7 linked regions of the Oryza sativa Japonica Group genome follow. The main gene of each other region encodes a partner of the protein of the gene in region 3 in a complex. Links are inferred from orthologs where the notes say so. Each region holds a gene or a part of one and is shown on either strand. Other genes may lie near its edges.

The links.
Region 1: mediator of RNA polymerase II transcription subunit 16 (region 3) and mediator of RNA polymerase II transcription subunit 18 share a complex: the UniProt entries of both Arabidopsis thaliana proteins name them as parts of the mediator complex. The link is inferred for Oryza sativa Japonica Group from reciprocal best matches to the Arabidopsis thaliana genes SFR6 and AT2G22370.
Region 2: mediator of RNA polymerase II transcription subunit 16 (region 3) and mediator of RNA polymerase II transcription subunit 17 share a complex: the UniProt entries of both Arabidopsis thaliana proteins name them as parts of the mediator complex. The link is inferred for Oryza sativa Japonica Group from reciprocal best matches to the Arabidopsis thaliana genes SFR6 and AT5G20170.
Region 4: mediator of RNA polymerase II transcription subunit 16 (region 3) and mediator of RNA polymerase II transcription subunit 15a share a complex: the UniProt entries of both Arabidopsis thaliana proteins name them as parts of the mediator complex. The link is inferred for Oryza sativa Japonica Group from reciprocal best matches to the Arabidopsis thaliana genes SFR6 and NRB4.
Region 5: mediator of RNA polymerase II transcription subunit 16 (region 3) and mediator of RNA polymerase II transcription subunit 8 share a complex: the UniProt entries of both Arabidopsis thaliana proteins name them as parts of the mediator complex. The link is inferred for Oryza sativa Japonica Group from reciprocal best matches to the Arabidopsis thaliana genes SFR6 and MED8.
Region 6: mediator of RNA polymerase II transcription subunit 16 (region 3) and mediator of RNA polymerase II transcription subunit 21 share a complex: the UniProt entries of both Arabidopsis thaliana proteins name them as parts of the mediator complex. The link is inferred for Oryza sativa Japonica Group from reciprocal best matches to the Arabidopsis thaliana genes SFR6 and MED21.
Region 7: mediator of RNA polymerase II transcription subunit 16 (region 3) and mediator of RNA polymerase II transcription subunit 27 share a complex: the UniProt entries of both Arabidopsis thaliana proteins name them as parts of the mediator complex. The link is inferred for Oryza sativa Japonica Group from reciprocal best matches to the Arabidopsis thaliana genes SFR6 and AT3G09180.

What each region holds. Positions count from the first base shown.
Region 1 is NC_089036.1:5,238,011-5,242,160, reverse strand, and holds mediator of RNA polymerase II transcription subunit 18, read right to left. Parts: upstream 2,801-4,150; 5' UTR 2,608-2,800; intron 2,527-2,607; 5' UTR 2,497-2,526; coding exon 2,461-2,496; intron 1,297-2,460; coding exon 1,197-1,296; intron 1,126-1,196; coding exon 1,068-1,125; intron 990-1,067; coding exon 633-989; intron 541-632; coding exon 429-540; 3' UTR 241-428; downstream 1-240. Other genes in the region: brefeldin A-inhibited guanine nucleotide-exchange protein 1, read left to right, coding at 3,081-4,066. UniProt on the Arabidopsis thaliana protein: Component of the Mediator complex, a coactivator involved in the regulated transcription of nearly all RNA polymerase II-dependent genes.
Region 2 is NC_089046.1:28,096,091-28,100,025, reverse strand, and holds the start of mediator of RNA polymerase II transcription subunit 17, read right to left. Parts: upstream 2,801-3,935; 5' UTR 2,595-2,800; coding exon 2,506-2,594; intron 2,419-2,505; coding exon 2,220-2,418; intron 2,124-2,219; coding exon 2,010-2,123; intron 1,847-2,009; coding exon 1,761-1,846; intron 1,675-1,760; coding exon 1,296-1,674; intron 1,098-1,295; coding exon 636-1,097; intron 560-635; coding exon 239-559; intron 1-238. UniProt on the Arabidopsis thaliana protein: Component of the Mediator complex, a coactivator involved in the regulated transcription of nearly all RNA polymerase II-dependent genes.
Region 3 is NC_089044.1:19,711,486-19,714,985, reverse strand, and holds part of mediator of RNA polymerase II transcription subunit 16, read right to left. Parts: coding exon 2,986-3,500; intron 2,582-2,985; coding exon 1,963-2,581; intron 1,879-1,962; coding exon 1,799-1,878; intron 1,174-1,798; coding exon 1,091-1,173; intron 552-1,090; coding exon 315-551; intron 1-314. UniProt on the Arabidopsis thaliana protein: Component of the Mediator complex, a coactivator involved in the regulated transcription of nearly all RNA polymerase II-dependent genes.
Region 4 is NC_089042.1:28,450,880-28,454,879, forward strand, and holds the start of mediator of RNA polymerase II transcription subunit 15a, read right to left. Parts: upstream 2,801-4,000; 5' UTR 2,670-2,800; coding exon 2,512-2,669; intron 1,720-2,511; coding exon 1,608-1,719; intron 742-1,607; coding exon 633-741; intron 1-632. UniProt on the Arabidopsis thaliana protein: Component of the Mediator complex, a coactivator involved in the regulated transcription of nearly all RNA polymerase II-dependent genes.
Region 5 is NC_089037.1:18,123,892-18,127,873, reverse strand, and holds the start of mediator of RNA polymerase II transcription subunit 8, read right to left. Parts: upstream 2,801-3,982; 5' UTR 2,629-2,800; coding exon 2,405-2,628; intron 2,282-2,404; coding exon 2,157-2,281; intron 1,380-2,156; coding exon 1,255-1,379; intron 1,150-1,254; coding exon 966-1,149; intron 831-965; coding exon 723-830; intron 510-722; coding exon 442-509; intron 122-441; coding exon 1-121. UniProt on the Arabidopsis thaliana protein: Component of the Mediator complex, a coactivator involved in the regulated transcription of nearly all RNA polymerase II-dependent genes.
Region 6 is NC_089042.1:2,025,008-2,028,983, reverse strand, and holds mediator of RNA polymerase II transcription subunit 21, read left to right. Parts: upstream 1-1,214; 5' UTR 1,215-1,329; coding exon 1,330-1,653; intron 1,654-1,954; exon of another isoform or gene 1,955-2,037; intron 2,038-2,174; coding exon 2,175-2,246; intron 2,247-2,519; coding exon 2,520-2,571; intron 2,572-2,685; coding exon 2,686-2,762; 3' UTR 2,763-2,773; intron 2,774-3,242; 3' UTR 3,243-3,476; downstream 3,477-3,976. Other genes in the region: major pollen allergen Ole e 10, read right to left, coding at 3,802-3,827, 3,920-3,976. UniProt on the Arabidopsis thaliana protein: Component of the Mediator complex, a coactivator involved in the regulated transcription of nearly all RNA polymerase II-dependent genes.
Region 7 is NC_089035.1:8,936,712-8,940,751, reverse strand, and holds the start of mediator of RNA polymerase II transcription subunit 27, read right to left. Parts: upstream 2,801-4,040; 5' UTR 2,776-2,800; coding exon 2,447-2,775; intron 674-2,446; coding exon 512-673; intron 1-511. Other genes in the region: pentatricopeptide repeat-containing protein At5g57250, mitochondrial, read left to right, coding at 2,993-4,040. UniProt on the Arabidopsis thaliana protein: Component of the Mediator complex, a coactivator involved in the regulated transcription of nearly all RNA polymerase II-dependent genes.

The sequences.
Region 1 (4,150 bases), on a different chromosome or scaffold from region 3:
AACTTGACTGCTAGACTTACATAATAACTAGAGAAAATAGTTTGATGCACACTAATTAACTAGAGAAAAACTACTGGGCAATTGAACGTCCCAAACCATGAGATCCTTACCACGTATGTGACCTAAATTAAAGTAAACAAAGCTACCATCAAATATATTGTCAGGATCATGACAAACTCCAGCTATCAGTCTACCACCAATATCGTCAAGCTTTCCCAGCATTCAGTTTCCACTCTTCAGTAAAAGCAAGCAATGATCAGTGTTCATTTACCAGTCTCCAAAGCAAGGTAGGCAGCATTTAGCATGTCATTACAAGAAAAACCATGGTGCTACTGACTAAAAGTTACAGAACTAAAGATGGCAACAATGTTTTAAGTGGGATGGTCAATGGAGATCATCATGGCATTGCAGCCAACACATATGACCGATCACAACGTTTTACCACCACCACCACCACCACTTGACATGAGTGAGGCGGCAGCAGCGCCTGCAGTCGGGACGATTCCAGTCGAATTGCCTGGTTTAGAGAGATGCAGAAGCCTGCAGTGTGTTTTGCAGTCAAAAGTGAGAAAATTCGTTTATGCCAGTCTAGTAATAATCTTGAGATAGCTAAGGAACACTTAGTTACTTACGGTGCTAGATATTCACAGAACGAAGTGACGGCTGAAACGACATCGTTGTAATTGTCAGCAGCAGCAGGGGCCGTGATTTCCACTAGCTGTATTGCAGGAGTGATTGGCACAGCTTCGTTGGTAGCATGGAGTTTTGTCATCTTGCTAACAGAGGTAACGGTCACAGTTATCTGGGCACCTCGGTGGAAACGAAATGCAAATCCTCCCTTCAGAACTTCATGATCTAACTTGTACCCTATACCGTAGAAGTAACGCAATACATTGTTGCTGGCTTTGCTCTCTACAATTGACCGCACAAGGACTGAGATTTGCTCTGCACCAGCACCTCTCATGGCACCTCCAACATGTCTTATGGTCCTACATGAATACTACTGGATTCAGAATATCATCAAATATCACAAAAATGTAAATTTTAGCAGCTGAAAGAAAAGTTACCAGGATGGCGTGGACTGAGCTAAGTCACACAATAAACGAACCTCTGATGGGACAACTCCTGTATGATTGGAAGATGTATATGAGTAACAATGGCATATGATCAGAATAATGAAAAAGTTGCAAACTGACCTAGATTTGGCCCACTTTTAAGACAGAGCTCATGCACTCTGACACGTTCTTTTGGGACACCAGAGAGGCCCTGGAGAAGAACCTCAAGAGCATCAACATGCTGCATAACAAGAAGATCAACCAAAAGTTACACTGATGTCAAAGCAATGAAAACTAAAAAAGGTTAAATGGTGTTCTAAGCACAAGACATTGACATGTGTATATAAATTAATCCCTTTATTGTAAAATTACAAACCATATAAGTGATATGATTCCTCCAATTGTATATAAAATAGAACCATATCAACATATTGAAAAGAGAATCAAAAAAAGTCTGCAAGTGGCAGAAGTAGTGCCCTCAGAGTGGAGAAACATGGTTGACCATATAGTGGTCAGCATGATCAACTGTATACTTTTTTTTTATTATCCTGAAGGGAAGTGTTGATATGCTGACAAGAGGAAGCTATAAGAGACTAACAAAAGGTCATATAGAGACAATGGATCGACGACAAAGTCTTAATGCTGGCATGAATTATTATTCTCTATTCCCTGATGTGTTTCGTTCAAGAAAAAAGAAATTCTCTATGGACATAAAGTTCCAATACTACTTCATGCTATATGGAGTGAAAAAATAACTTTGTTCCTAAGTAGGACTATTGAGATGTAATTTGACATTGGGGCTATGCAGTTGATAGATTTGCTACCTGGGATAGCTTAAGTGTTACCTTTCAAAAGGTTTTATCACAATTACATTTACAGAGGTCTGTTTTCAGGCAATTGACACCTCCAACAACAAAAATGCTATCTTAAATCAAGTGATAGAAAGTTCATTTAGTAAACGTCGAAATTCTACATTCCAACTCCTTTGGATAAGGTTACTACAAAGCGAAAGGCCAAATAACCTTATGCCAAAAATTAAATAAAATTCAGAATTCTAGATACAACATACAAGTAAGGAGCGCAAATGTCAGATCAGCAAACTTGACTAGTACCGATTTCCCAGAAAGGCCTACCATCATACAAAAATCAAGAATCCATGAAGAACATCACATCTACCATCACTCCGGCTTATGTTACGGGCCATGTATGATTTTCCGGGTAAAAGTTCAAATTGGTCATGTTTTACAGCATAAACAGACAAATCAGTTTCATATGAACAAAAATGCATCGTTGCATAGCTACAGATCACTCATTCTCGGAAGAAACTACCGTTCACTTCAACAACCGCTCACACAGTCACCACTCATACAAGTCTACTGGCGAAGTGAGAAAGAAGAACAATAACCTGGGTCTCGATGATCCCCTGCACCACGCACTCCATCAACCCCACCGCTTCTCGCTACCACAATCCCTGCAAGAGAGACAAACCCTGAAACCACGCTGCGGAATTTCGTCGAACAGCTACCTCGCAGCAACAAAAATTCACCCCCACCTTTAACCTAACAGCAATAATCCGCGGCGCGGCGGGGGCTGAGGCGTCGGGAAGTGAGCCGATCCGAGGCGCAAGAGCTCCCCCCACCTCGCAAACCCCGCGTCCCCGAACACTCCCCTCTCCGCCACTGACCGCTCGCCGTCCTCCGCCGCCTCCTCCTCCTGCAGCGATGGAGACGAGAAGAAAGAATTCCGAGAAACCGAGGGGGGTAAAGTGATAAAATGCCTCACCCCCGCGCGAAGGGTCGCGGCGTTTTTGCATCTAGGCCCCTGGAAGAATCTGAAATTTCAGTCATACCCTTCCTCTGACTTCTCCTCTTCCTCTTCCTCCCCCACGCGCTCGTCTCGTCTTCCTCTCGAATTCCCATTTTCTTCCACCTCCTCCTCGTCTCGAGGTCTCAGATCCAATGGCCGCGACGGCGACGGCGACGACCACCGCGTAGAGCGCGTGAGAGTCTGCGTGGACGGCTAACTATGGCCTCGCCGGCGGGGGCAATCGGCGGCGCGTCGCCGTCGGGGCGGGTGCTGGGCCCTGCGCTGGACCGGATCATCAAGAACGCGGCGTGGCGGAAGCACTCGGGCCTCGTGGCGGCCGCCAAGGCGGCGCTCGACCTGCTCTCCTCGTCGGCGTACGCGTCGGCGTCGGCGCCGTCGCCGCCGTCGCTGCTGCTCGGGTTGCCGGCGGCCGCCGCGGACGCGTGCATCCACGCGCTCCTCCTCGCGCTCGAGTCGGCGTCCCCCAAGGTCGCCGACCCGGCGCTCGACTGCGTCGCCAAGTTGCTCTACCACCGCCTCCTCGTCGGTGATCTCGGCGGTGGCGGCGGCGACGACGACTCCCCGTCCTCCAAGCTGCTCGCCGCCGTGCTCTCCTGCGGCGCGCTCGCCGACGACGCCATGGAGCTCTCCACCCTCCGCGTCCTCGTGGCCGCCGCGCGGTGCCCCTCCGTCGCCATCCGCGGGGAAGGGCTCGGCCAGATGCTCAAGACCTGCTACAACATATACCTCAGTAGCAGCAGCGGCGCCAACCAGCTCTGCGCTAAGCTGGCGCTGGCGCAGGTGCTGGTGATCGTGTTCGCGCGCGTGGAGGTGGACTCCATGGATGTGCGCGTGCGCACGGTGTCGATCACCGACATGATGGACATGTCTGACCGCAACCTGAATGACTCCAGCATTGTCCATGCGGCGCAGAGCTTCATAAACGAGACGATGGAGGGAAGCGATGTCCCTGAGCCGGGGTCCCCGGTTGAGCCGGCCGAGACGGATGGGAAGGAGGATGTTGTCATGAGCAAGATCAGGGAGGATGGGTTGACACTGTTCAAGAACCTGTGCAAGCTGTCCATGAAGTTCTCGACGCCGGATAATCCCGAAGATCAGGTCCTGCTGCGCGGGAAGGTGTTGTCTCTTGAGTTGCTCAAGATGGTTATCGACAATGCTGGGGCATTCTGGAGAACGAATGAAAAGTATGATATGATACTCATTATTGTCTTACTTCTGTGCATTTTAACAGCTCAACTTGCTGTGTTGCCTATCTATATAAATATTGT
Region 2 (3,935 bases), on a different chromosome or scaffold from region 3:
GTAGGTCAATAGGCACAAATGAAGATTTCCTCAGGGAAAAAAACTAAGAAAAATGCATTACCATTGTGCATTTCACATTCAAATGCAAGGAGTTTATGTTACACATTTGCAATGCAAGAAATAGTCTGGCTCATTGCATTATCAATGGACCATAATGAATTCCAATGGTAATAACTTTAATAATTTCATAAACATGATCTACCAAGAAATAATTTAAATAGTATCATCAGAAGTTTACCTGCTGCAGAAGCATTGTTGGGAGGTCCTCCAAGTCACAATTGTAGCTATTTACCAAATATCCATCGGAGGGCTTCCCAGTCAATGATCCAGCAATGCTTGGGGAGCCTTCACCCATTAGACTAATTTGGCTATCTTTCACGATCACCTTAGTATTGAACTGTGACCTGGATTTGTACTTAAGTTCATGGTTATCAGAAGGCTTTGCAATCCGATCTGCAGCAAGGATAGGCTGAGGAACTTTCAAGCATAGAGACCAGGAGGAAGTTCGAGAATGCCAAGTAGGAAGAGAACGCAAATGGAGATATGGAACCCTGCTGACCTGCAATACAGAAAGGAAATTTAAATAATGATCTACATGCAAATATGTAGCATCAACAAGCTTATAGGAGCTATACCACACTCTCAAGCTCCACGAGTACTTTGTTAGAAAATATCCTGTGAGCCACTGTCAAGCAGAAATGACCTAGCAGGCCATAATCATCACCTGCAACCTGAGCAGGACTTTGGTAGCGACCAATGTTAAGGGATTTCTCCCTGACCTTCCTAAGAATGTTCTCATGAAACAATTGTAGCAAGTAAATTTCCAGACTTCTGGGATTAGGAAACCCTGTCACGTCTTTTCTTAAAGGGTCCAGCTTCCCATTCATAGTGACCAACACAAGATTTGAGGCATCCTCTGAATTGGCATGGTCTTCATGGTCTACCATTTCTGAGTCACTACCATCTCCAGAATGAGCAAGCGAGAGGCACAATGAACATTCCTGACCAATAGCTAATTGGAGAAAATCTTCACGCATTCCAGTCACATTGATGCCTTGAGATTGGACAAATGTCTCACGGATCACCATATCAAATACCTACAAAGGCATACACTAAGCTAAGCCACAGAACGATATACATAAATAAATAATGATAAACCCGGGGAGGGAGGGGTGGTGGTGGTGCAAGATGTCATCACATGATATACAATAATTTTCCATGATGCTATAGTTAAAACTTAATTAAGAGCATTCTATACAGGAATTCTTAGCATGCCAAGCAAACACTTAGCTGACCTGCTCCTCAAATATTGACTTGTGGATGTTGCGAAGAATAGAATGTGCATGTTTGATGGATTTATTGACATCATCATTGTCTGTTTCAGAGGAAGTGATGCTTGAGATGCCATCTTTCAGTTTATGACCGTAGTTTTCCACACCATTGGCACTGTCCCCTCGAAAATTAAGACTCAAGAAACGGCAAGATTTTTGAGGGACTTGTACGGACAAAGTGCCTGATGAGTCTTGGTCAATTGGAATCAATGGTAATGATGACAGTCGAGGCATTGCTGCTGTGTCCAATTGAGAAGTGTCGATCAGATCAAACATGAAGCCCTCACTTCCTGGACCACTTCCACCAAACCGTTGCCGCTTCACTTTCCAGTTCTGCTGCAATCTGCCACCAATCCGCGAGTAATTCATGGTGCAAACTTGGGTGAAGTGGTATTGAAATAACAACTCAAGTTAAGCAACAAGACATGCCTGATTAATGAGCCATAGAACCTAGACTCTTTTTGGAACTGCTGCTCCATTGTTTTGGCAGATTGTTTGAAGTAGCGTGACAAATGCTGCGAGGACACAAATGAAGATCACAACAGGAAGCATGATAGATGCAAGACGGAAGAGGAAAGTGGCAAGCGATTACAGAAACAAATTGAGTTTGTTTTAGGTTCCATTTTGTTCCTTAGCCGTGAATTGAAGTAATCAAACATAGGCAGTAGGGTGACATACCCGAACGCGCTGAAGCTTGGTGGCTGCAGAGACTGCGGTGTCAACTAAGGTTTCGGTTGGCAGCGATTTGGGCTTGAGCATCCCAGCGACTGCCACTGCATCATTGGCTTCGACCTGCATTATCAAGTAGGATTGTCTCCTCTGTCAGGAATACAAACAATCGCATGCAAATAGAATGGGGTTTGCAGTATTGTGTGTGGGAAAACTGACAGTGGAGATGAGGTCAATGACGACGGAGAGCTCCTGCTGCGCCTGCTGCAGGCTCTCCATCATGCCCTGCCACGGCCATGCCTGCTGCTGCTGCTGCTGGGCGGTGTCCTTCTTGGGCTTCTTGGCGTCCTTGTCGATGACCCAGGAGAAGTCGATGCGGCGGATGGCGGAGAGGCGCTGCTCCTCGCTGCTGGTGTCGCTGCGGAATCCGAATCTCAGTGAACGGAGAGAGGTGGGGGTTAGGGTTTCAGGGGAAGGGAAGAGGTTGGTTTGGTTTGGTGCTTACGGCGGGTAGTGCTCGTTGCCGGCCTCGTCGATGGCGTGGAGGCGCTTGATGGGGAGCTTGTCGAGGTCCACCCGCACGGCTTCCTCCATGGCGAAGGCGAGGCAGCGGCGGCGGAGGGCTTAATTAGATCGGAGACAATTTTTTGAGTGAAGGAGGCACTGCCTTGGGGCTCACGAGTCCCGCTCAAGAGCGGAAGGGATCCCCCCGCGGGAAGCAGAAGCGGCGGCCGGCGGGGTGGGGGCGGCCGCCGGCGAGGTCGTCGGGCGGCGGAGTGAGGAGGAGCGAATTCTCGATCGAGTTTGGGTGCTGGACTTTGGAGTTTCTTCTCTGGAAGAGAGTATGATGGGCCTTTTTTGACTTTGGGCCGGCCTAACAAGTAAATGTTGCTGGGCTGGCCTGGACCAGTTCCAGACTTCCACTACTCCGAATGGGCCGGAGTTTCTTTTTTTATTTTCCATTTCTCAAGGCCCCTCGGGAGCAGGAATTATCTCCTAGCAATGGTAAAACGAAGGCTTATATCAGAGAGCTTTTTCTTATCAATGCCTACAAGACAACAAGGCCTGTTCTTCTGTTGTTCGTCCATGGATCACAAGTTTCAGGGAACAAAACTCTCTTTGGTGCCGGTGGCAATGATATTCCAAACTCAACCGCAAGTTGTGATCAATCTGCAACGTATCAGGGACGACGGATATTTCACAAAATAAGTAGTAGTATGTCGATTCTTCAGTCCAGCTTCTGAATTCCAGGCCTTTTGAAGTTGAGCAAGCAAGTAAATTCAGATAATCTCTCTGCAAACCAACTATACAGTGAGTGACTGAATTTCTACTTGCGCGGATCGATGTGCCAGAGCATTGCCAATCACAGAAACAAGTTGCAGATGAGATTGTCATACTAGCTTACAATCAATGCCACCATCCGCTCAAAACTCACAGCAATCAATCACAACCTGAAGAAACAATGAGGACAAACCACTGTCCACCGGATCGAGTTGGCAAAACCTGGACGACCAAGGGGGTTCGGAGAATAAAACTCCGACCCCTATTCATGAAAAAGAAAAGCACCGCAAACAATTCGTATCATAATTCTTGCAGGTAACACCGTAACACCATAAGTTTGAGAGAAATGCGCCAAATACAACAAATTTGGCGATTTGTTTGTTTTCTCTTTTTCAAAGGTAGCATATAGATTTGCCTTGATAATAGTATCAACAGATGCAGCGCTATAACCATATATACTCCATTTCTTCTCCATTCCCTTGCTTCATTGATTTATGACATACTCAGAAAGACTAAAATAAGCATCAATTTCACACTTCACAGGCCTGTTGTTCACAACTACTGAGCTGCTGTGTTATTGTATTGCTACTAATCAATACCAGCATCTCTTTAGAAAAATCATTAGCGATACACAGCTTACATTTTATTGGATAT
Region 3 (3,500 bases):
TGCACACCTAGGAGCAAAGCTTATGATGAAAGCTATCTGGAGGCTGTTTGAATCGTAGTCGGTTTGGAACATAAAAACAGCAAAATACTGCTGTAAATACTGTAAATTCCATACATGGCATGGTTAATCTGTGGCATATCATGCCTCATCCTCATGCATGAATAGGTTGTGGTTTACAAATAGCTTATCATTCAAAAAGGTTTGCAACATCATTTGCCCATATTAAGTCTATAGCCAAAAAAAGGAAAACGAGATTAGCAAATTGAACTGAAACTGTGGACCAGGAAATCAAAAGAACATGAAACACAGTATACCTGGATGCTTAAAAGTAGAGCTGGGTCAACAGTCATTTTGTCAGGCCCAATGCTAGATAACATGTCACTGGAAGCTTGCCACGGTTCAGGTAGCAGAGTTGATGGATTTATCAGGGCAGACTCAATTCCCTTGCCAAGCATATCCAGAAGCAATCTTGCTTGCATGTCCAACACAAGTGCTCTGACATCTTGAGCATTTGTTCCTTCCAACAATCTACACTTTATCCTATCAAGATTCTGCAATAAGTAAAATAGACTAATCAGTAACAGAAGAAAGCAATAGCCTTGCAACTTCAAGTCCTCAAAATCTGAAGTAAAAGGTAAACACACAATTAGAAAAACAAATCTTGTCCAACTCACAAATTACAATATATTGCATTATGAATAAAGTAGCAAACTACATACTACCGTAAATGGTCTCTGACCAATACATCCAGAGATATAATTTATGTTCATAGAAAAGTTTGGCAAGCTTCATGCTAAAATGTTCATTCAGAACTGCAAAGCAGTGCTAGTGACTTGTCACAAGAATACTAAAAAACTATGTCCAGGAAAGAAAAGGAAAAAAGTCATCTTGATTATATTTTGATTCGTATCCCCCTTTCAACTACTGGTGGAATAAAGACTGGTGATTGGTGAATGTACAATCTTTAAGAACCCAAAAAGATATTGTGACATGCATGTCACATAGTAATGGCAGTAGGCAGTAGATGATGAAAAATTGAAGGCCTGTGCTTAAAACTGCACATAATGTACTAAAAGCACAGCACACTTACAGGACAGTGTTGTTGCCTCTGTTGTATAGTTGGAAGACAATGGAAGTCCGCGTCCAGCAAAGCTATCACACTGTTCAGTGAGACTGGAAGGAAAAGCAAGAGATTTAGTTTATCATGGACAAATATAAATGTTACAGGTGCTGAAATAGTTAACCAACCATATGTAGAAAATGATGAAACTTACTGAAAAGTTCTGTATCAGCTTAAAAAGATGTATTGCAACTCACACCAGGAAATAATGTTAACATATTGAGACATCCAAATGGGAAAAATGAAGCAAAACACAATTCATCATACTGCAGATGCACAATGCTTTCAAATTGGGAGCATAAATGTGCAATCAGCTCTAAAGTCTTAACATTATAAACAACCAAACAGAGATTTGCTTGGTTACACTGTTCTTAATTACTCCCTCCGTTTCACAATGTAAGTCATTCTAACATTTTCCACATTCATATTGATGTTAATGAATCTAGACATATATATCTATCTAGATTCATTAACATCAATATGAATGTGGAAAAAGCTAGAATGACTTACATTATGAAACGGAGGAAGTATATACTTTAAGAGGTTGAGTGACAGTTGTGGAAATTCTACCGTGTAGCAGATAATCCCTACTTTTCTAATTGTGTGGACAGCTAGAACACAATTGAAATGCAAATACTATACACAAATTTTAAATTGCATCTGCATAAGCATCCTTACCAATACCATCTTCAGCAGCACTTTGTGTGCAGCCAACAGCATCCCACCAATCCACACCAGCCAATAGACTCCACCAAAATCTGCTAAAAAGATCGCAGTTATAAAAAAAAACATTTTCAACAAATAAATCATTTCAATCAACCTCTGTTAACTTGGGTGGATACCTATCTGCTATTGCTCGTTCCCAAACAGCTGAGCTAACCTTTGTCTGAGCATTAAGAATTGCAGGAGGAAGCACACGTATTATCTTTAGTATGGTTCGATCTTTGAGTGTGTCATGCCATACTGATGCCAAGCAACAACCACTGGAGGAGAAGGCTGGTGGAGCAATTGCTGAGCCAACATTGACATGATAGCTATCAACCTGTTCAAAGTTTGGACCTGAAAAAATGTGCACACCTCCACGCAGGAATGCAACTGCAACCTCACCACCATGAGCAGAATAAACTATTTGGGCCAATTGTCTGACATCATTTGGAAGATCATAAGGGTCAAAGCTAAGTCGGTTCGCCCTGTCAACACTGCACTCAGAAGAACTCCGCTCATCTGAAGTTGTTGGCATTGGAACATATGATTGAGGGTTCTTAAGGTCCTCAGATGGTGGGATGCTTTTGTTAACTCTTGTGGACCAAACAGTCTGTGTAGGTGGCTGTCCACCAAAGTTTGCAGGGCTTCCAAATATTGGATGAAGAACAACAGGTTGGACTGAAGATTCCCAGCACTGGACTCTCCATCCAGTGATGGAAGGTCCTTCATCAGGATCATAAGGAGACATGTACTGCCCTGGAAGTATGTGGTTTAACAATTGTCAGAAAAAATAAATAAGCATTAGCCAAGAGCCTAAGATCAACCGATTCACTTAATAAATTTCAGAGACCCCAAAAGTCCTTAAAAGAATATGCATATAGCATTTACAGACAAGAACTTTTATTACCATGGCACAAGCTACCAGAGCAAATCAAAGAAACAACAAAAGCAACTAAAGGGAGCTAAAACATGTATAAGCATGCTCTGGACATACATAGTTAGATTAACTCTCCTACTATTAAAGCTGTTGGATGATCATAGGATTAGTGTGGTGATTATGAATGGCATTGATGTTCATGCCATTCATCAGAAACAAATAGTCATAGTGAGATGTGACAATTGCATCATACTAATTCATTTCCCAGGTGTCATATACGCACCTTCAACTATTACAACTGTAATAACTGATCCCCCTCGAGTGGGATCAAAAGCAACTGAGGTAACCCCAGATCCCCATGTTGTGGTAGTGGCTGACTGGGCAGCAGCTTCAGGACTGACGTAAGCTGAAAAGTTGGAAACTGGACAACAATGGATCGATGCTACCTCAGTGGTCTCATTATCTACCTGTGCCTGTTTTTTTGTCTGTGCGCCCTCGGAAACAAGGTAGTCTTGCAAAGAGAAGAGGTAAGATGCAAGTGGAGCAAAACCAGCCCAGAGTGGGGGATTTAGTGATGGAGGAAGAGAGCTTGTTGCATTTATCTTTGCAGTTGCCTGAATACCATTGCCAAGGCCTGGCATCACCTCCCAAACCACTACAGTAGATGGATTAACAAGGGGAACACCAGCAACATGTAATGCTCCAGTTTCAGTAATAATAGCATCAGCAGCCATTATGCCGCTTGGCCCTGCTCCTAAAAGCCCTTTGCTAGTAGAAAACCATCTAGGTTGTGCTGAG
Region 4 (4,000 bases), on a different chromosome or scaffold from region 3:
CCAGTGCGAGAGGTTATATCGATGAAGTGATTGTGTATTGCCAATGGGCTAGACTATGATACTAATCTTTGATTAAAAAGAGAGAGAATGAGTGCTAGAAAGCTATGTGTATCTTTGGTCTTTGGGCTGCTGGCAGCAGACGTGATGGTGTGAGCCTTGCTTTGCTTTTCTACTTTGGAAGCCATGGCTGATCTAGCCTCTACTAGAACAAGCAGATTGAAGGGGTCGTCTGTTTTGATGTTGGTGCCCAAAAGCTTTGAATATGACCATGCAAGGATTCGTGGCCAGCATCCAAATGGTGTGTTTGCTATCAAGATTAGCAATTACTTAATTAGGTTCGAGTAATCAACAAGTTTGGAGGTTTCGACTGACAGGCATCTCGCCTTAATTTACTTGCTTGAGCATTATCCGATACAAGCTAAAACGAGAGAGCACTGTTGTACCCAGTGTGGCAGAGCTTCCATTGGATGGTTTCCTCTCAGAAATGGGGCTTGTAAACACACATGCAATATAGTTACATCATGAAAAATATATACAAGGACTTTTACGGTGAACAAAATATGGTACCAGCGAATATCTTACTATTACTCCAGTATTTCAGAATCGGATATTGAATATACTTCATATGATACCTGAGCCAGGGGGATTTTGGTTTTGAATCACTTGGGCGTTTCCAGGATTCTGTTGAGTCTTTGTCTCCATAGAGAGCATTTTTAGAGAAATCTTCCGCAAGTAATCAGACTGGTGATACAAAAGAATACAATGGTAAGATTTGGCTTTGTAATAAATAACTTGCCACCCTAAGTCCTGGTGGTTAGCACAATTGAAACATATGCTTCGTTTTTTTATACAATCAATTAAATTATACAAATTCTTATCTATACAGCAAACTACTTTGGCATGAATAAGCCTGATGAAGTATGAACAGGAGAACACAATTGGAATTTGGAGATTATGAATCCCTATACCCAGCCAAAGAAGCTCCTACAAAAATGTTTACCAAAATGAAGTGGGATATATGATGACATACTCGCTAACACAAAAGGAAGGACTGGAGTAAACCATTGTTTGATGTTTCATCTGGGATAAAGGGAATATTTTACAGGTGATTTATACAAGCATGAACAGATGGAATGATGGGCTTACAGAACTCAAGGTACAACTCCTGTACTTTTAACATGGCCAATGAGAGAAACCAGTCTCATGGTAAAAATATTGTTTAGTTCTATAATTCATTAATACTAATTTACTATTGAGATATGTTATCAATGAAAATAATGTGGGGACATCAACACCTCTAGCATAGGACTGAATCAGTCTTAGTCCCTGTATCCAAGGCGCAAAGGAGATTTTCCCCCGATAATGGAAGGGGAAAAGCTTCAGCAGCCTTGGATAATCTGATTTAGGTGGAAGTGCGAAATATTACAATCGGTTCAAAAGAAAATGTGGATACTTCACGGCGAAACTCTAACAAACTTCAAAATCAACAGACATATTTGCAAACATTGGACGATCGATTTCTTCTACTAAGATCCCAAATGCCATGCTTGAGCCCCACAACTGAAAGATTGGATCAACCCGATGAGTTAGCAAGAGGCTAAGTGTACCTGGCTGGTGGCTGCAGTATAGATTTTCTCTTCAAATCGCACTGCTATCTTTTGAAGTTCATTCAACCCCTCAGGCACTGATACTGGTAGATGCTTCTTCAGAGTGTCCATTCTGTACGCAGATTGCAACAAGCAAGTAAATGACGAATATATCCCATGCAGAACGAGAGAGAGAGAGAGAGAGAGAGAGAGTGCTTTTGAGATGTTTTGTGCAAAAAAAAAAAGAGAAATGTCACCTAAGGCATAATGTGTCAGTCTACCATTCAAGATGTTGGACAAATGAGTAGGCATAGCCCAAGTTACGCGCTCAAATATAGTGGCTATGACCAAAAGTGGACAACAGCTACAAAGGACTCGCGGAGCGAGAGTGGCACATACATGATCTAACATAACGAAGTAAAATAAACGAGAGAGGTAGGCGGTTTCTCCAACAAACAGTTTGCCTTGCCATCATAGTTCCCTGACCCTCAAAGGGAAGATCCATTTGAACAGAAGGGGTGCATCTTCCAAGCAAACCTCTATACTGTAATAACTGTGTCTGATGAAATGTAAATTGAGTTCAATTGGATATGTAGACTAGGTGAACTAGACAAGAATGTCAAAGCTAATAAGAATCTGAAAATAGTTGGGGAGGGATTGGAGTTGGACCTAACTAACAAAGTAAATAATAATAAATAAATAACAGAAACACAGGGGCACGGAAGGGGAGATTATGATGAGATTACAACTAGCTACGTAGGAGTAGATCGGATCAGAGTTGCATCATATTGAATCGACCACAGGCACAAAAGGATGATGCGATGTATGGATCTTCTATTTTATTTTATATAGTTGATGAAGAGAAGAAAAATTGGGGGAAGGGAAGGGAAGGGAAGTGGGTGGGGGGAGAGGGGGAAAGCCCTACATCTTGTTGACGATCCTGTTGCGGGCCTCCGACTGGAGCTGGGAGCGCCAGTCGCCGCCGGCGAGGGCGGGGGCCGGGGCGTTGGGATCGATGCCCCCAGAGGCGGCGGGGTCGGCCCCCTGGGTGGGCCTCCAGTTGCCGCCGCCGCCGCCATCCATGGCTCCTCTTCTTCTTCTTCTTCTTCGATTGCAATTTGCGAGGGTTTGGTCTTCGTGGCGGCGGCGACCACAAGACGGAGCGAGCGAGCGAGCGAGCGAGGTAGGCTAGAATCGGAGTCTCGCCTCGCCTCGGAGGAGAAGAAACCTCGGGGTTGGACCGACCTAGTATTTATTTCGCATTTGCCCCCTTGTACTTACAGCATACTCCGATTGCGTTTCCTTTCCCCTTGCATACGGTAGCATGGCGTTAACCCTAACTTTTTTATACTAATAAAATATAATAATAAATTTATGAAATATTTCAACATTTGCAAATGCCAACTATATATAAAAACCCTTCTCTATTAGAACCCCTTCAGCATAATTATTTTGTAAATAAAGCTACACATAAATACATGTTACCGTTTTGGATAAAACCCTCTATGGGTAGTATATTGAAATAAATACCCTTTTAATAAAGAAACATAGCTATGGCTATTTTATACGAACCTTTGAAAAGGAATTTGCCTTCGGAAAATTAATTACAAAATAATATATATTAGTAAAGTATTTATTAAAAACCCTATTTGCAAAATATAATTCATAATAGGCTATTTTCAAAAGATATGACCTTCTCACACAACGTCTAATTTTCCCTCAGGTATAGCCTAGTTTGCATGTTAGGATTTATTGTTTATTTGTGTGTGTTTAGAATTTGTGCCATAGATTTTGATTAAACCCTATCTCTAGAAAGGACACCCTTTCCTATACCTTTCTTTTTCCATCCTTACCTTCTCTTACCTTCGCGGTCTAATTTGTTATGTGCTTCGATGCTAAATAAATCAATGACCCAAAACTTTTTTGTCCTATCGCGATATTGTTGCTCTCTCAAACTCTCGCCCAGCGATTATTTAAAATCACTCCATCAATTCAAACCCAACACTCTCCCTTGACTATCTACAATCGATCGGCGTATTTATTTATCATGCGTCAATTCAATTATCTCCGATTCTATTCCTACCGCGACGATTGGATTTGTATGCTACGCGTTGTCCCTAAAATCCTTTCTTCGCTACCGTCGTTCGTTTGTACGAACACTCTCAAAATAATCCTACAACAACCGATAAATTCATTTATCGTGCGTTAACCCTAAACTCCTATTTGGCAATACGGTGCATCCATCCAAACAAAGTCTCATGTTGCAATCCATTTATTCTGCCCTCGTGCATTCTCGGAATATCTATACATACCACAAATCCCATTTCCAAAGCACTGTCCAAGTCACACCGTCCCACCACAAATACAACGTCCAGTCATACAGTCCCAATTATAAATGTACAGTCCTATTACAC
Region 5 (3,982 bases), on a different chromosome or scaffold from region 3:
TCCCTGACCTAGGGGAGTTTGCATATGGCATTGGAGGAGTAGATACATTTTCAAAATTAGGCGTTCCTGTAGCTCCAGGTGATGGAGCAGGTCTGCCAAGTAACTGTCCTCCAGACACCTGCTATTAGAATGAAGGCCCAAATTTGAACATCAAGATAGAAACATCAAAGGCCTGCATGAGGTCAGGTTGGTGATTGCTCTTATGAAATGCAATTGTCTTAATAATAGTTCAAGGGAAAGCATTCTAACCAACACTTAATACAGTTGATCATAGAAAGGAATACCAATATACCATTACAAATTATATGGCAAATTGATACACGGGAAACAAAACATCTGCCTTTTGTAACTTTTTTTGCTTTCAGCCCAACTAGCAATAATATGGACATATTCTATTAATTTCGTAATGGTCAAAGCTGTTATTACTGGCACTAGACAAACCTGCATTGGATTTCCCTGGGCGTTGACAACATTAGGTACAAATGTTGAGGTATTTTTGGGGTACACACCTGCAAGTATAGACTCTAGTTATATGCTTTTGTTGAAGCATTGTGTGACATACAGACTGCACAAATGGCAACACTAAGGGTAGCAGCAAGTTATTGATTATTTTTATATAAAAAAACATCTAGAGCAGATGAACAACTCATTGATGCTATAGTTCCAATGCTCAAAACAAGGAGTGAACCATGGAGAATTGTAGGTATGTCACAGAAACAGACCAGAATTATCACCAAAATTATGTGCCCCATCTCCAAAAGGAAGTACGTCCACTAAATGGCTAGGAAGAGATGAATACATCTGCCTTTGGTCTCCCGGTACACGCAATCCTGGATAATCAGACTAAATCATCATGGACTATAAACAATGAAATTGTTACATAAAAGGAGAAGCTTATGCTAAAATTAAATTCAAAGTAATTTTTAAACTGATAGCTATATTAATACACCATTAATGCTTATCACCTTCACCATAATTTACCGCTGCTCTAAGTAGGCCTTCCTGCTCCTGTATCTTTGCAGCCTGTGCCTTGTCCAATGTAGGACCAAGATTTGCCCCCTGACGGGCTCCTAGACCATAATTCTTGCGACTTTCAGCAATTACTTTCTCAGCTGTTTCACATGCACTTCCAATCATATCTATCCTAGTCTGAAAGGAATAGCAGCAAGTCCCATTAAAATTAACAGATAATGAAAAGATCACGCAGGTATAATAAGCTACATAGGTTTGCATTTTCCAGACAGAAATAATCACCTTTAACTTTTCAATTTGTCCAGAAACTGTTAGATTCGTTATTCCAGACAACAAGTTGTCCCTCTTTGTAGCTTCTTCAGCTTCCATCTCAGGTAACAGCTTTGACGACAGCATTACAGGCAGTACTGCAGTACTCACGAATATCAAACAGGACTAACGATGTGGTAAAACTAGAAGCAGATGAACATGGGAACACAAATTGCGATGCATCCCAACCATATACAGCAACCGTGACCAATTAGCATCTTGTTAGGTCATTTTTAGATTCCTATCACACTTATCCCAGAAATAGGAAAGTGTTGACAAAAATGGCTACCCATGCTACATTAGGAATATCTTTACCAATTTACCCTAGGATAAAATTCGTTTAACTAAAGCCAATTAGCCATATCAGCCTGAAGTTTAATCTCAATATTTAAACCAAAGGAATAACTATTGCTAGGAAGTGAGAAAGGTCAACAATTGGTTCTTCATGTGTAAAACAACTCGTAAAAGAAATGACATGTATATATATGAACTACTCATTACCAAATGCAGCATAACCATAATATCTCATATATCCTTGTTGCTCATAACAGAAATCACATAGTATATTTCTTGGTTCTCATAACAGGTGACCTGTCTTCTCATCTGGCTTTGGGCACCATTGAACATGAGAAGACTCTGTTTGGTAAGGTCATGGAATCAAAAGTGGTCTGCTTAGCTGGGTAGCGTGTAACAGCTGCCCAAGGCAATATTTTGTGAAGGTTTGAACTACGCAGAGCAATTCCATTCTACATTATGTTCATGTATTCTTCTTCCCACAAACTTTATGCTTGTGGATCTACCTAACTAGTGTGGTTATTACTGATATAGCGATCGATTGGTGACACAAGAGAAGAGAAGTGGAACAGCAAGCATACTGGCAGCGTTTTCGGCATTAACGTTTCGGGGGTAGACCACAAACACCTTGGACACCTTCTTGATGTCCTCCACGATATTGAAGAGCTCCATGCTCACCATCGAGAATTGCCCAAGCACATCCTGCCTGCCATACACGCACCACGGCACGAATCAGCATTGCATAAACCCTAGAAAGGGGAAGCTGAATCCTCTACAGAGTCCAGCGGGCGATCGGGGGATGGGGGAATGGAGGTGAGGCAAGTACTACCACTTGGGGGAGGCGTTGGGGTTGGCGCGGGCGATGGCGTCGAAGTCCTCGAGGATGCGGGAGATGGCCTTGTACAGGCCCACGGCGCGCGCCCGCATCCCCTCCAGGTTCAGCTGCTGCTGCACCCCGGCGCTGAGCCGCTCCGTCCGTGGCTGCTGGTCCCCTCCTACGGGCGCCGCCGGGTTCGGCGCCCCGGCGGCCGCCCCTAGCGCCGCCGCGTCCATCCGAGCTCGCCGGATCTGCTGCGTGGAGGAGCTCGCGGGAGTTGGGGGGCTTCACAGGAGGCGGAGATGGCTTCACGCCGGCGGCGGAGGCGGCGGAGATGGGCCGTCGGAGTTAGTAGGGCGGCGCCGGAGAATTTGAGTGTTGGAGAGAGGGAGACCGCGAGATGAGGACGGGAGGGGGAGGTGGTTTTTCCCCGTTTTCACGAAAACCGGTAAAATCGGCTCAAAGTTTGTTAAAGAAAAAAAGAAAAGGTTCGCTTTGAATATTTTTTTTCAATAAAAACTTACCAAAGAAAACCGAGCAATTTGTGTTGTCCTGTAAACCATGGGATACGAGCGAAATAGACAACAAGCCTTGTTTAGTATCCGGAATTACTTCATAGTAATAGGATACGTTCCATTTCATGTTATGTTGCTTTATATTGAGACGAATGAAGTAGATTAATTTATATATTTCACGAGGAAATTTTTTGATTTTTTAACCGTTAGATTCGCTCCAATATTCATGTAACTGGGGATGGGAAAAATGAATTTTCTTGGAAGAAACACTTCTGATGCTATGATAGCATGGTTTTTTAATGTAGTTACATATAGTTAATATAATTTTATTATAAGTAGTGAAGTCGTATAAGTTGTAATGGGAAGTACTAAATTTATGACAAACATTACATGATTAGAGTTCATTTTATGACATGTTCTATTTTTTGTCAATTAGCTCCAACATAAACTCATGTTTTGAGCAAACCCCAAACATCAATATTTTGGTCCCATGTTATCTCCTTCTACTATTGCATAGGCCAATTTCATACTACCCCTTATAAGGTTTTAATCCAACCCAGACATAGCGTTGTATGTACTACAAACAACAATAAATTATAGTAGAGTATTCTTGCTTGTGAACACTGAAATCATATCATTTAACTCCTTATATCTTAAATCTCAAGTTTTGTTGCTTTCCATAAAATTGAGGACAATGCTAACAGTAGGAGCTAAGATCATGGTACTATTTGTTACTTTTTTTAAGTAAAATATATGGCCGGTCTCTAAACTTGTGTTGTGCTGTTACTTAGGTTCATGAACTTGAAAATTACACGTTTAGGTCCGTGAACTTGGTTTAGGCTGTGTTTAGATCCAAAGTTTAGATCCAAACTTCAGTCCTTTTCCATCACATCAACTTGTTATACACACACAACTTTTCAGTCACATCATCTCCAATTTCAACCAAAATCCAAACTTTGCGCTGAACTAAACACAGCCTTAATGTATCACCTTGGTCCAAACGTCCTTTGGCTGTGTTTGACCGCCAACGTGGCATGCCACGTAGGCAACACTTTCGCTCTCAGCTCCCTCCGCG
Region 6 (3,976 bases), on a different chromosome or scaffold from region 3:
TCAATGCTGGGGTAACTTGCTGCTGTCCCGAAGCAAAAAACAACAATTTTCCAGTGTTGAAATCAATGTCATCCAACAATCCAAGACATGTAAAACGTTACCACTGGATGAATGATGCAAGAACAATGGTAAATGTCAGATTCAATTCAGGGTTCTCGTTCTTGTGGAGTCACTCACATTCAGATGATGCGGCTGCGACGAGGGCACACCACCCAGCTTCTGCTGCTGATACTTGCTCCCGTTCGCCTCCTGCAGGAGATCACCATTGAAGAGGCTGCGACAACCCTAGCTCCTCCTCCTCCTCAGACCATTTCCTCCATGATAGGCTCCCTCCGTGGCCGCGGCCGCCGCGTCCGCCCTCGCGCTCCTCCTCCTCCTCCTGTCCCGCTCGCCGGTAGCACGAGGAGCCGCGTCCACGTCATCACCTACCGCTCCCCCGCCGCCTCTGCGGCCGCGGCCGCGCTCCCGTGGATCGACTGGGCGCGCACGGCGTCGATGAAGGCGGCCCCGGGCTGTTGTCCTTCGCCTCCGATCCGGGCAGCGTGGGTCGGTCGCTGGCGCTGCTCGTGGAGTTCGCTCATGGTCGGCGGCGGCGAGGCCCGGCATGGTCGGGTGAGGCAAGGTGGGAAGTCACGCGGGCGGCGGGTGAGGCTCATGGTCGGCGGCGGCGGCGAGGCCCGGCATGGTCGGGTGAGGCGAGGTGGGAAGTCACATTGTCGGCGGCGGCGAGGCCTGGCATGGTCGGGTGAGGCGAGGTGGGAAGTCACGCGGGCGGCAGGTGAGGCGGGCGGCGTGGCTGGCGTGCGTTCTTTTTTTCGTTCTTTTTGGCGTGCAGTTTCTTTTTTCGGAGCAAGACGCGGTGTTAATCCGGTGCTAATTGTAACCGCAGGATTAATCCGGCGCTAATTGCAATCATGGTGTTAATTACACTAAACAACTCGTGCTTTTTATATTAGTCTAGATTAGAGTCCAAGTCCGATTCAATTAGTGTTAACTAATCGGGTGAGTTAATTGTTAGTAATAGTTTGGTTTAATCCTGGGCCGTCCGATCCATTTGTGTGTGGATCAGATCTGGACGCGTGGTGGTGATGTGATGCAATTTTCCGCGTGGGGTCCCTTGGTTCCTTCGTAATCAAGCTAGCCATGGGCCCACGTGCCAGTCAGAGAGTGGCTTGCGCACTGTCGATGTGCTGGGCCCACCAGTTTTCTTTGATGGGCCTAGATGTAATTGGGCCTTGGTGGATAGAGAGGAGGAGGAGAGAGAAGGAGAGGGAGAAGAGGAGGAGGAGGAGGTCGCCGGCGGCGAGGAGGGGGACGAGATCGCCGGAGATGGACATCATCTCGCAGCTGCAGGAGCAGCTGAACGAGATGGCGATGGTGGCGGTGAACACCTTCGGGACGCTGCAGCGGGACGCGCCGCCGGTCCGCCTCTCCAACAACTACCCGGACCCGCTCAACCCCGCCGCCGCCGCAGCAGCAAACCCTAACCCCGACGACCCCGCCCAGCCGCAGCCTGGAGCGGCGGCGGCGGCGGCGGCGGGAGCTCCGGCTGCGCAGGCACAGGCTCCGCCGGCGCAGGCCCAGCCGCCCGCGCTCGACCTCGCCGAGCATCCCAAGGCCATGAGCCACGCGCTCGTCCTCGCCGCCAAGAAGGTACGCGTCTTCCGTCGCTTATCTTCTCTGCTTGCCACCTGCTCGATGAAATGCCTGAGTGCCTGCTGGTTCTTGGGGTCTGACGCTTTAGGGCTTGGACTGTAATTTTTGGTGTGACCAGCCTTAGCATTTTTGTGTGATTGCAACCACGGTCAGGGTGCCTGGTTCTTTGAAAATTCTTCTACTTACAGAATCATATCTTCTATAGTGAGATTGTTCATGTAGTGTGGTAGAGTACTTTAGTTGCATTGTGCTGTTTTTTAGCCCTCTCGAGATAATTTTGAATGGATCTGCAAAATAGGAGCTTCACTCATATTATTCCTCGCAAAGAAGGGTTGACGATGATGTGGATCACACCAATCTTTGTACTGTTCCTCGCAAAATGTAGGTGGGATGATGGTATGCAGCACACCAACCTCTGTCTCCAGAGGGCAAACTTTGCATCTGAGAGTACACTTGAAATGTGCTACTAGCTACTGTTTCCAATACCGTTCTCTTTTTTTTTTGGTTTTTTTATGCAGTTTGATGCTCTTGTTTCTGCGTTGCCACTATCATCTGAAGAGGATCAGCTGAAAAGAATTAAAGAGCTACAGGTATGTCTCAGTTTTGCCCTCTGAGCAGTACATTGTGAAAGGGTGACATTAAGCTAGTGTCTTGTGAAGATGGTATCTTTGTGCATGTTTCCTTCTGTTTTTTTTTTCCTACGCCTTGTGGATGGAGTTTCATACTAAGGTTGTCCTCCTTAGTCGCTTGCTTTCTTCTGAATGAAGGTTTAGCAGACGCTCGGCAGCATGTCCTGCCATAGTATCAGTATTCATGATACTTGTGTCCTGCAGCTAAAATGCTTATGAATTTGAAATGCGCAGGCAGAGAATGAAGTTGTAGGCACAGAGCTTCAGAAACAACTGGAAGCTGCTGGTATGCTTTGCTATTACATTCTTGGAATATTTTGCCTTCATTATATAATTCCTCACCATGTTACAACTGATTATTTACAAGTCCAGTGTTTTACATGTCTTGTTGCTTTTGTAGAGCTGGAGCTGAAGCAAGTTGAGGCTCTTTTTAATGAAGCTACAGATCATTGTATAAACTTGAAGAAGCCAGAGTAATAGTTATCAATGTAAGTTTGGATTTCTCCCTTCACTATCTCAATAAATCTTTAGCTTTTTTTGTGCTTGCAAAAAATTATGCTTGCGCTTATGATATGGGATTATTTTGTGACCAGCTGTATAATCCGCTTGACTTCCCAAACTTGGTACACTGTATTATCAGGAAGTCAGGATACTGATAACAATTTTGTTCTTATGGTGCTTTTTGCAGTACAATATTCTACATGCACCATTTACTAGATGGCTGTTGGCATCATGTCCATGATCAATTATTGGTTTATGTAGTTTATGTACGATGATGGCCTGAACAAAACATAATTATGGTGGATGTTGACCTGTTATATTAATCCCTCGCAAGATGCTTTCATAAAACCCTCTGGGGGCTTGTCTTTCTGTTGATCAGAAAATTCCAACACAGTGTTGTTACGTATGATCGTAGTATCACTAAAATGACTTATGTTTGCTTTCCTGTCATATCAGGTAACGGAACCCATTTTGGAGTCATGAACAGATGAAGGTGGAGATGTGAATGCCAGCTGCCGATGCTACATGTAGACTCAGTTTTAGTATCAAGTTAGCTGATGCTCAACAATATTCCAGTAGTACTTGTTGGATTAGGAATTAAACCTAGCACTGTAATTTACAGTAACTTGAATAGTTTCAAGCTGGTTCGTTTAATCTGAAATAATTTGAGCATAACTTCATGTTTATTTATTATAGTTGGGCCACTGTTCGTTCACAGCAGCACAGGACCATATAGTGCTATGCAAATACAATTAAGACATGCCTAGGATTCATACTCTTTGAACTTTGAAGAACTGCACTGAAGATATGGAACAATATTATCTCGGTATAAAGCATTCCTCTCTAAAGATTACCCAAACATTGAGGCTAAACATGACTTGAATTCTAGCAACTCTGACACTGAAATATAGAACACCATATTTTCTAGGGGCACTTGGACAAACAAAACATCCCTTGAAAACTTTATTTGTCAAGCTCCAGAGATTGGCTGGCTAACTTGGAGCAAACTCTCAACTCAGGCATACTTGCAATTGCCAGAACCTGCAAAGGTTGGCAAGAAAGCCATGTAAATTTGCAGGATTCAGGTGAAAGAAACAGCAAGTGAAGCAAGCTTTGAAGAGGCTAATACTTACTGGGATCAGTGATGGTGATGAGGCCAGTGCCGTTGAAGAAGCAATTCCATGAGTTCC
Region 7 (4,040 bases), on a different chromosome or scaffold from region 3:
GGGATGATCCGAAGGCTTGAAGCCTTCAACATAAGTACATACATCTAAAGAAGCACATGAATGAAGGGCGTTGGAATATTTCCGATGCATTCTGTGTAAAATCAAAATAAAATATGGATGCAACGAAAACAAGAACTGATCTAATACTTCAATTCCTACAAAAGCACTCCACACCTTGGAAGAATGTAATTATCATAGTAGAAGGATTAGAGAAAGCAAAGTGCAAAAGAAGAAACAAAAGAGGGAAAAAGGAGAAATAAGGGAAAAAGGGGAAAGAGGGAAACAACAGTACAAATTTAAAGGGGAAAGAGGGAAACAACAGTACAAATTTATCGGCCAAGAAAATTATCGTATATCGCAGGAAGAAATAACATGGTATAAATATTTAATCTGCATTCTGCAATGCACGGTTGATGAAATCTCACACATCAACAGAATATAAATAAGACAAATAAGCACATCATATTGTGGCAGCAAACATACAACACAACAATGATGGTAATGAAATTACCTAGTTCTGTCAACAGCTGATGCACCAGCCTGACCAGCCAGCTGACGCTTCCAAGCATATGCCACAACTGCACCATCTGGACAAACAAGTGGCATGTGCAAGCCCCATGAATTGCCTCTGGCTTTAAGGGCTCCATTTAGAACTCCAGACTCTTCCAATTGCCTTCCTAACAGCAATGGATACAAGATATTTATTAGGCTACAGTTTAAAAACTAGATCTTTACTTTCAGTTGGCTAGGCCAACACTTATGAAGAAATAGTGGAACTTGAAACTTGAAGTTCAATAAAAATAATTGGAACTTACCAGGAGAACTGTGTAAGCAATGATTGATGGTTCATCACAAAGTAAAAACATCATGAATAGCAACAAGCACAACTAACCCAAACACTATAACAAGAATACTGTGAAAGAACAATAAGAAAGCACCAGCAAAATCGAGTGAATCCATCCTGTTCACATACCTAACTTTATTGAAGATGGCTCCTAATATCCTTTGACTTAAAAAAATCTCAGTCACATGGCTTAAGCTTATCTAGTACTCCTAACTTCAGGATTTTCACAAACTAACTATTCTGTCTAAAATCATAACTATATCACCTGCAAATTTCATCTTCCGTTTATCTAGCAACTTCAGGTTGCAGAAAGACTCAAAAACCATCGTTTAACAAGCAGTTCATATTGCTTGGACATTTTATTCATCAGACAGAATAGTACCATGTTGCCATGAAACATGGATTTTCCAAATGCCTGCAGACTTCTTCAACAAACGACTGGTCAAGTGGTCACATGTAAACAATTGTACCCAACACATAACTGCTCTGCTGAGACAATATTATAGAGTGAGCACCTACCCTACATCCTTACCATCCACGAGTGATACTAAAACTAGTTCGAGCCCTGAGTGGCACTAAGGTGGTGTTTGGATCCAGGGACTAAATTTTAGTCCCTGTCACATCGCATGTTTGGATACTAATTAGAAGTATTTAACGTAGACTAATAATAAAATTAATTGCATAAATGAGAGCTAATTCGCGAGACAATTTTTTTAAACCTAATTAATCCATAATTAGCACATGTGTACTGTAGCATCACATAGGCTAATCATGGATTAATTAGGCTCAATAGATTTGTCTCGCGAATTAATTCAAGGTTATGAAATGGATTTTTTCATTAATCTACGTTTAATACTTCTAATTAGTGTTAAACATCTGATGTGACCGGGACTAAAATTTTAGTCCCTGATCCAAACAGCCCCAAAACAAGTTCAAGCTGAAGCTGTTCAATTAAGGTTAAATATTGCTCTATTACAAGCCAAGGAACACGAGTTCCAGAAATGCATCCCAATCTGATAGACCCAGGCACCCAGCCAATATTCTAGAATGCTAAAGTTCATATACCAAAGTTGAGCAGTTAAGCCTGTCCGTGCATCTCTCGTAGCAAGGTTTCATAGGTAGAAGGGTTTCACAAGATACAAGCAATTGGATAACACCAAAGAAGAGTGTGGCATCAGTTTATGGTGATTAACCATTATTACAGAACAATTTAGTGGAAAAAAAATGTGCTGCCATGCCTAAACTGGGAAGGAGATTATTACTTTAAAAAAAGTCCAATCATACAATCCAAAGAAGTTAAATCAATATCCCAGCCACCAATTTCCAGAAATTATCTAGACAAGGGTTTTCCTTTTTCTTCTTGAGACTGCAACCGTGGTATCATGACGGGAATATTTCTTTTTCATTTTGAGACTGCAACCGTGGTATCATGACGGGAATGTTCCTTTTTCATTTTGAGACTGCAACCGTGGAATCATGACGGGAATGGTTCTTCTCGGAGGGAATTAGTTGTATTTTGCGACGTAACAGTCAAAGGTTAAGGAATCGATGAAAAACTTCTGAATCGGAGAGTGTGGGGGCACGGGGCGGAGATGGGTTTACCTCCCGAGCGCGCGGAGGTCGTCGAAGTGGCGGTGCATGGCGGCCTCCTCCTGGGCGACGGCGAGCGCGGTCTTCTCAACGTGCTGCGGGGCGCTGTGCGGGGGCGCGTCGCCGGCGACGAAGAGCGCCTCGAGCAGACGGTCCGCGCCCAGCCGGATGTCCGCGATGAGCCGCCCCGCCCGCCCCAGCCGCTCCATCGCCTGCGCCACCTGCTTCGGCGGCGCGTCACCCCTCGCCCCCTCGTGCTGGTGCCCCGTCGCCCCCGCCGCCGCCGCCGCCGCCGCCGCCACCGGCGCGGCCACCACCGCCGACGCCTGCGCTTGCTGCATCTTCCTCTTCTCCCCTTCTCGCTTCCGACTCGAAACGCCTCACCTAAATAAGCCCATATCCAAACAGGCCCAGAACCAATACAAGCCCATATCTATTCAGGCCCAGATCCAAACAAGCTCGTATCCAAATTCGGCCCACGCCATCGGCTTCCAACGTTTCGAACGTTTGCGCTTCGCTTCCCACGCGGCGGCGGCGCCACCACCACCACCCTCCGCCATGCCGCTCGCCGGCGGCGAGCCCCGACCACCACCGCCGCTCCCGTCGCTGGTCAAGCTCGGAAGGGCCGTCACGCCGCGCCGCGTGGACATCCTACTGGCGGCGCTCCTCCGCCGGCGGAGGCACCGCCTCGTCGGCGCGCTCGCCTCGCAGGCGGTCGCCAACTCCGTGCGCCCCACCGCGCGCACCCACCTCCTGGTCGCCTCGGCGCTTCTAGATTCTTCCCGTCCGCGCGACGCGGCAGCGCGCCTCGCGCTCGCCGGCCCGGCAACCTCCTCCGCGCGCCGCCTCTGGGACGCGCTGCTCCGCCGGGCCTGCGCGGTGCGCGGCGATGCTCGCCGCGCGCTGGAGGTGCTCTCCGCCGGCGTAGAGGAGTGCGGGCTCGTGTTTTCTCCGTCCACGTATCGTGTGGCCCTGACGATGCTGTGTGCCCGCGGTGACATGGAGACCGCGCTCAAGGTGTTCGACGTAATGGCTGCAGCGGGGTGTCAGGTGGATGATCGTGTTTGCAGCGTGATCATTTCAGGCTTCTCCAAGGTCGGGAAGGCTGGGGATGGGCTGGAATTCTATAGGAGGGTGAGGAGAGAGTTCAATGGATTTGAGCCAGGCTTGATCACATTAACCGCTTTTGTCGATGTGCTTGGCCGTGTAGGGAGAACTACTGAGGCAGCACAATTGGTAAGGGAGATGGAAGGGAAGGGGTTGGTTGGTGATGCTGTTTTATATGGCAGCTTGGTTCATGGATACATGAGTAGCGGGTTATTGATGAAAGGGCTCCGTGAGCATCGGGTGATGTTAGATAAGGGCATTGCAGCTGATGTAGTTAGTTATACTACTGTTATTGATGGACTTTGCAGAGAACGTAGTGTGGAAAAAGTGATGGGATTCTTGGATGAGATGAACCGAAGGGATGCTAAGCCGAATTTGATCACTTATACATCATTGATTGGTGGTTTCTGCAAGAGAAACAGGTTGGATGATGCTTTTTCTATAGTGAGGAAACTGGAACAGACAGGAGTGGTGGTGGATGAATATGTTTACTCAATTT